Linked DNA regions of Ovis aries. The protein of the gene in region 1 binds, or shares a complex with, the protein of each later gene. Links are inferred from orthologs where the notes say so. Each region holds a gene or a part of one and is shown in the gene's direction. Other genes may lie near its edges.

What was found. The genes of interacting proteins can lie anywhere in the genome.
Region 2: NBAS (region 1) and RINT1 share a complex: the UniProt entries of both Homo sapiens proteins name them as parts of the NRZ complex. The link is inferred for Ovis aries from reciprocal best matches to the Homo sapiens genes NBAS and RINT1.

Annotation. Positions count from the first base shown.
Region 1 is NC_056056.1:23,857,042-23,860,694, reverse strand, and holds part of NBAS (NBAS subunit of NRZ tethering complex), read left to right. Parts: intron 1-938; coding exon 939-1,090; intron 1,091-2,015; coding exon 2,016-2,156; intron 2,157-2,415; coding exon 2,416-2,494; intron 2,495-3,653. UniProt on the Homo sapiens protein: Involved in Golgi-to-endoplasmic reticulum (ER) retrograde transport; the function is proposed to depend on its association in the NRZ complex which is believed to play a role in SNARE assembly at the ER. Required for normal embryonic development.
Region 2 is NC_056057.1:48,169,159-48,172,811, forward strand, and holds part of RINT1 (RAD50-interacting protein 1), read left to right. Parts: coding exon 1-190; intron 191-937; coding exon 938-1,079; intron 1,080-2,861; coding exon of another isoform or gene 2,862-2,865; coding exon 2,866-3,061; intron 3,062-3,653. UniProt on the Homo sapiens protein: Involved in regulation of membrane traffic between the Golgi and the endoplasmic reticulum (ER); the function is proposed to depend on its association in the NRZ complex which is believed to play a role in SNARE assembly at the ER.

The DNA of each region.
Region 1 (3,653 bases):
AAAAGGATCTTGACTCAGAAGGCCGGTGACTAATCTGTTTTATTCATTGCTATATTTTCATGGCACACAGATGGTACTCAGTAAATATTATTTCTTGGATGCATAAATGGGCTCTGTAAGTAAACCAGCCTGTTGAATGTGATATTCCATGATAGTGGACACTGGGGCCTATGATTAGATATATTGATTTGGGCTCAAGTGGGAAACCTTGCCAAGGTGTTAAGTGTTAATGACATGGACTGGTATAGAGGCCACAGACATGGAGAGGGGGATGTGAATTCAGAGACTCCAGAGGAAAGAACTGATATGAGGGAATATGTAAAGGAACATAGAGGGTATGAGCCAGATTTTACTCTAAATTTGTATCCACAAAGACTCTAGGAAGAGAGCAAGTCAGGGATTTCGAATGGAGTCAGAGAAAGCTGTTGGAGGGAAGACTGGCCCTTGGTCTTCCCAGAGAACAGCATGGCATGATTCTTCATGACTGAATCATCGTCTGTGCTTTGGGGTACAGCTCCTGGCCAAGTAAATACAGAACCTTGATACATGAAACAAAACGTTAGTTAAACAAGGTTAAGCATGTTTGTCATAGTAGGATAAATCTTGTCTTTTTTATTTTCTATTCTTTCATACAGCCCAAATGCAAACTAAAGAACAACTGAAAATTTTGGGAAGATCTATGTTTCCCAAAAAAAGTCATCTGAGCTTTGTGTTTCAGTGTGTTTCATTAGAAGAAGGAAAGCAGGTGGAATCATATTCCCTATATTCAGTCCTAATCACCATTAGGAAAAAAAAGATTTTTAATGGTGAGGTGCTCCAGCAGCTGCCTGTGGCTATGCTCTTAGGTAGCTAGCTGTGATTCTGGAAGGCAGTTCTCAGGTGCTATCAGATGTCATGGGTTCTTTAATGCCTCTGTTTTTCATTTTCTCTGTATCCAGAGTAAAATAAAGAAACGATCCTGGGTTCTTCATGAGTGTTTGGAAAGAGTTCCTGAAAATGTGGATGCCGCCAAGGAACTGCTTCAATATGGATTAAAAGGCACAGACCTGGAGGCTCTTTTAGCCATAGGGAAAGGAGCAGATGATGGCAGGTTGGTTACAGAAAGATTTGGATTCAAAAGTGAAGGTGACTTTTTGAAAACTTTTTAAACTGAGACATTGGAAAGGGTCAACTTTCTTTATTTAGGTTACTCTGCAATGGAGCAGTTGGTTTGACTAATGCTTTTTTTTAATCTGAGATCACAGTTTTTTTTCTTCTGAGTGAAATATGTTTACATATGATAACTTGATGCTAAGAAAAGAGCAAATTCTACAAACATTTATTGAATGCTTGCAGTGTCTAAGCTGTGGATTTAAGGTGATGCATACCTGGGCATGCTTACTGGTCAAATGAACCACTGTAGGCAAGCCTGAGTTTCATTCACTTTCTTCATCTGTATCGTTGTATCCTTCCTCAGAGCATTATCTTGATTAAATTATTTATCTTGTGAAACTGCCTCATAAACTTTTAAGCACCATACAAATGTCAGTTAATAATAAAGTTATTTGACAGGGGCTGCTGTTCATCAGACATTTGGAACATTATATACATGGTATATAAACGTGATGGTGTGTTGATAAGTAATTTAAATGAAACCAACTTTCATTACCATTTTAAGACCTTCAATAGAAGTGGTTCACATTATAAATTTTGGGCAACATTTTCTTCATAGGCTGTTTTACATTGCATCACTGTAACCTCCCATGTTTTCCTAAGCAGCTTTCATTTTCTTGGTATTCAGAGTTCCTACGTGTGATGATTACTGATGACTTCTTGCCCACCCCATGGATATAAATGAGAGAATCACTTTGGTTATAACATGGCCAAAGCTTTCTTTTAAATGGTTGGTTGTTTCTGTTTCTGCAGAAACCAACTTAATAAAATCAAAGTAGGGAAAAGTACTTCTTCACTATATGAAATATATATATAAAGAAAACATACTCCAAGGAAATTTGACTTTTTTTTTTTTTCCACAGATTTACACTCCCTGGTGAGGTGGACATTGACAGTATCTCCTACGAGGAACTTTCCCCACCTGAAGAAGAACCTGCCGAGAAGAAAAAGGAGAAGGAGCTCAAAAAGAGACGAGAACTACTTAAATTAGTGAACTTTTCAAAGTAAATGATATATTACTGTTCATTTGGTAATTTTTTTAAAATAGTGATCTGAGTGTGTTCCTTACTAGTGATAATTGCTCTACATTATTTCAGCAACTCAAGTCAAATGCATTTAGTAGTATTGTAGCCCTGTGCTTCTGTGCATTGTCCTATGAGTATGGGGCTTAATAGAATATTGATCATTTTTATTCTATTTTAGATCTTAGAGAAATGTGCTTGCAGGTAAATATAAGTGGCCTAATATAGTTTTTCAAAACAGGTTAACGCTGGAACAAAAGGAACTTTGCCGTTGTAGACTGAAATTATTAACCTACTTAGATCGGCTTGCAACATACGAGGTAAAGGGTAGTTTTAATCAAAGCAATTATGTTCGTTTGATCTGTCATTGCACATGCTGTGCCTGCCTATGCTGTGGGATATTCCTGGTCTTTAGAACTATTTATGTGGGAAAAATTTGCGCAGAAGCATGTTCTTTTGTATATCATTTTTGCTAAACATTAGGGATTCGTAAGGGGCCAGAAGTTGCTTTGTAGAAGCAACTTTGATCCCTGCTTCCCAACCCAGGGATCGAACTTGGGTCTCCTGCATTGAAGGTCAACTCTTTACTATCTAAGTCATCAGGAAAACCCTTCAAAAGGTGAGAAATTTATACTAAATCCTGGGAAACTTGAACGATGAGGGTCACATGAAAAGCAATCTAAACTATGTATATTTTATGAAATGCTTCTCACACCTTTATCAAATCTGACAGAACAGGGCACTATTGAAATGTCCAAATGGGACATTTGTGTTTGCTGCCCTGAAGAAACAATTTTGAAGTTTGCTCTAAGTTCAAGTGTCTAAATTTGGCCATCGTTAGGATCAAAGTTTCTGCTGTAGAAGCAGTAGAAATGTGTGCATTATTTCAGCATCTGTGTTTCCTAGATTTACAATCCTTTTCATTTATTTTTATTTTACATTTAAACTTTTGGTTATGGTAGATAGCTGTCTATAGTAGCAAATTCAGTATCCACTGGAGTTTAGTAATATGAATATTCTGACTTGCTTTATTTTAATGATTTATTAATGTCTTGAATTTAGTTGGCTAGACTTTGATTCTAATGATGGCCAAAATTAGACACTTGAACTTAGAGCAAACTGCAAAATTGTTTCTTCAGGGCAGCAAACACAAACGTCCCATTTGGACATTTCAGTAGTGCCTTGTCCTATCAGATTTGATAAAGGTGTGAGAAGCATTTCATAAAATACACATAGTTTAGATTGTTTTTCATGTGACCCTTATCATGTGACCCCAGGATTTAGTATAAATTTCTCACCTTTTGAAGGGCTTCCCTGGTGACGCAGATGGTAAAGAGTTGACCTTCAATGCAGGAGACCCAAGTTTGATCCCTGGGTTGGGAAGATCTCCTGGAGAAGGGAGTGGCTGCTTACTCCAGTATTCTTACTTGGAGAATTCCATGGACAGAGGAGCTTGGCGGGTTATAGTCCATAGGGGTC
Region 2 (3,653 bases), on another chromosome or scaffold:
GAGAAGTTAGCTGCTGATATTCCTTGTCTGCTCTATGACGACAGTCTCTTCTGTCATTTGGTGGACGAGGTGCTTTTGTTTGAAAGAGAACTACACAGCGTTCATGGCTATCCTAGCACTTTTGCTAATTGTATGCATATTCTATCAGAGGAGACCTGTTTTCAGAGATGGTTGACTGTGGAGAGAAAATGTAAGTGCTCATATGCCTGTAGGCTGGGGAGAGGTATCTCTTATTGTGAATACAAAATTTTAGGTGTTATTCTTCTCCATTTCTGGGTAGAAACTAGTGTCATCTAAATTTTTCTCGGTTGAGGTTTATCAAGTTGCCTTCAGAGATTATCTTCTTTTCTTCCCATCAAGCTTCAGTTTTTCCCAGAATTGTACTCTATGTATTTCTAGGATAGAATATTCAAGCCAGGGACTTCTCTGGTGCTCCAGTGGCTAAGACTTGTGCTCCCAATACAGGGGGACTAGGTTTGTTCCTCAGGGAACCAGGTCCCACATGCTGCAACTCGGAGTTTCCTTGCTGCAGCTAAAGATGCTGCATGCGCAACTAAAAAGATACTGAGTGCCACAACTAAGACCTGGCACAGCCAAATAAATACAGCTATTTTTTTTAAAGTTTAACCCAGTAGCGTTAACTGTTTTATGGATTTTACATATAGTATTTCTGCTCTTATGGAATCATTCTGGATGTGGCTTTTCTAGTCACTGAAGATTTTTTTGAAGATATTTTGAAGATTCTGGGTAGGTGTGGGCAGAGGTAAAAGATCTTACTTAACCTTAAAACAGAGCATGTTACATATAATGCACCTAGTAGGAGGGTGTAGATTTATTTTTTTATAGAAAAATAATAATTCCTAAGAAACTATGAGTTGAAAGATTAGGAATTACAATCTGTAACTACTTGTTTGACATGATCTTTCTTGTGTGCCAGTTGCTCTTCAAAAAATGGACTCAATGCTCTCGTCAGAAGCTGCCTGGATATCCCAATATAAGGACATCACTGATGTGGATGAGATGAAAGTCCCAGACTGTGCAGAAACGTTTATGACACTACTCTTGGTTATAACTGGCAAGTATAGTCTTAAAGATATAACTTTTTTTTTTTAGAAGTACTGACTCTTAACAGACTTGTGGTTATCAAGGGGGAAGGGGAATGGTGGTGGGATAGAGTCCATTAGGTGATAAACCATAATGGGAAAGAATATGAAAAAGAATATATATATATGTATAACTGAGTCACTTTGCTATATAGCAGAAATTGAACACAACATTGTAAATCAACTCTACTTCACTAAAATTTTAAAAATTAAATAAAAGTACTACTGATTCTTCACTCAGTATTTTTGAAGTAGTTTGACAAAATACCATAAAGTGGTTATTGTAGTATCTTCAAATTCAATTTCTATTTTGGTCAAACTCTAGCACAGTAGTTTAGCTTTTGGATTTTTTGTAATTTAAGTAAGACCTTAAACATTAGTTTACATGAGGGGAAAATTCCTCAGTTGTTACATAAAAACAAATAATTTAATTTTCTTCCCTGAATTCCCTTGTCTTTCAACTTTTCAAGTATCTTCAGTAAATGGTGATTGACCCAAATTTTAAATATTATTTTCTTCACCTTGTTATATCAGAGTTTATAGAACAGTAAAATAATAAAGTAACTTTAAGGACAAGAATGGGGGTTTCCCTGGTGGTTCAGATGGTAAAAAGTCTGCCTGCAATCCAGGAGACCTGGGTTCAGTCCCTGGGTCGGGAAGATCCCCTGGAGAAGGCAAAGATCGGAATGGTAACAGGAACTTCTATGTTCCAAGAATGTTCTGTCTGGAGGGTGGCCCGGGCCCAGCCCTGGTTGGTCTGTTCCTGTCCATGTTGCCCCTAGGGCACTGCAGACCTGCTGGTTCTCCAGGGCTACTGAGCTGTCACTGCCATGGTCCTTCTGTGTCTTGTCCATTTCTTGGGCCTGTGTGGTAACCTGAAGAGGTGTCATTCCAGCCCAGTCAGTAAATAATGCTGTATTCTTTAAGAAAAATATGAAAAACACTAAAATACAAAAATATTTAGCAAAACTGATTTAAAAATCTTTTATTATGGAAATTTCTCATATATATATAAAAGCAGCATAACGAACCCTCAGGTTATCTGTTCCTAAGGTTTAAAACTATTGCTTTTCTATTATGTATTTCCCCCCCCAAAATACAGACTTTTTTCCTGAAGTATTTTAAACATCTTTTCACCTATAAATCTTTAGCTACGTGTTTCTTTTAACCTATCCTAGTTCCTCCTTCCTTTTTTAAAAAATGTCATTTGTTGAAGAAGTGGAATAATTTTTGTATACGATTTTCTCATATGCCTTTAAAAAATTGAGGCATAACTTTTAAAATAAAGCACAGTTGATTTACAACATTGTGTTAGAGGCATAACTTATATACAGTGAAATGCATAGATCATCAGTATATAGATCAATGAGTTTTGACAGTACTTGTGAAACACACATCCTTAGGGAGTTTAGAAATGGATCCATACTTGAATGGTTGGTTGATTTTTGACAAAGCCATCAAAGCTAGCCAATAGGAAAACCCTATACCATAACCTTTAACATGCCGTGTGTGCTAAGTCGCTTCAGTCATGTCCAACTCTTTGCGACCCTATGGACTGTAGCCAGCCAGGCTCCTCTGTCCTTGGAATTCTCCAGGCAAGCCGGAGTGGGTTTCTATGCCATCCTCAAGGGGATCTTCCCAATCCAGGGACTGAACCCATGTCTCTTACATCTCCTGTATTGGCAGGCGAATTCTTTACCACTAGCACCAGCTGGGAAGCCCATAAACCTTCACATGTCTTGTTAATTTTCTCCACAGACAGGTATAAAAATCTTCCCACAGCTTCCAGAAAGTTGCAGTTCCTGGAGTTACAGAAGGACTTAGTAGATGATTTTAGGATACGATTAACTCAGGTGATGAAAGAAGAGACTAGAGCTTCCCTTGGCTTTCGGTACTGTGCAATTCTTAATGCCGTGAACTATATCTCAACAGTGCTAGCAGACTGGGCTGACAATGTTGTAAGTTAATCTTTTATATTAAGTAATATATTAGTAATTTGAACAGTTTTACCTTTTGAAATGTTGAATCTGTAGCAAGCAGAAATAACACACGTTAGACAGAATCAAAACTGGGCCAAACTTAGGAGGTATGATTACAGTACATATTTTTCTCATCTAAGTCTCATATAGTTAAATCATCCTGATATTTTAATCATTGGAAAAGAAAGCCATCCTTTCATGAAATTGTAGTTTATAAAGTAAACCTTTCCCTTATAGATTTTAAACTTGGGAAATATGTTGAATGGTAATTGCAATCTCAGAAAAAGCTAAGCTTATATAATGATGTCAAAATCAATAAAATTCAGAACTTTAAGGAACATAACATTTGATAGCTCTTAAAAGTGAAAGTGTTAGTCACTCAGTCATGTCCCACTCTTTGTGACCCTGTGGACTGCAGCCTGCCAGGCTCCTCTATCCATGGAATTCTTCAGGCAAGAATACTGGAGTGGGTTGCCATTCCCTTCTCCAGGGGATCTTCCTGATCCGGGGATCAAACCCATGTCTCCTGCATCATAGGTGGATTCTTTACTGTCTGAGCCACCAGGAAAGT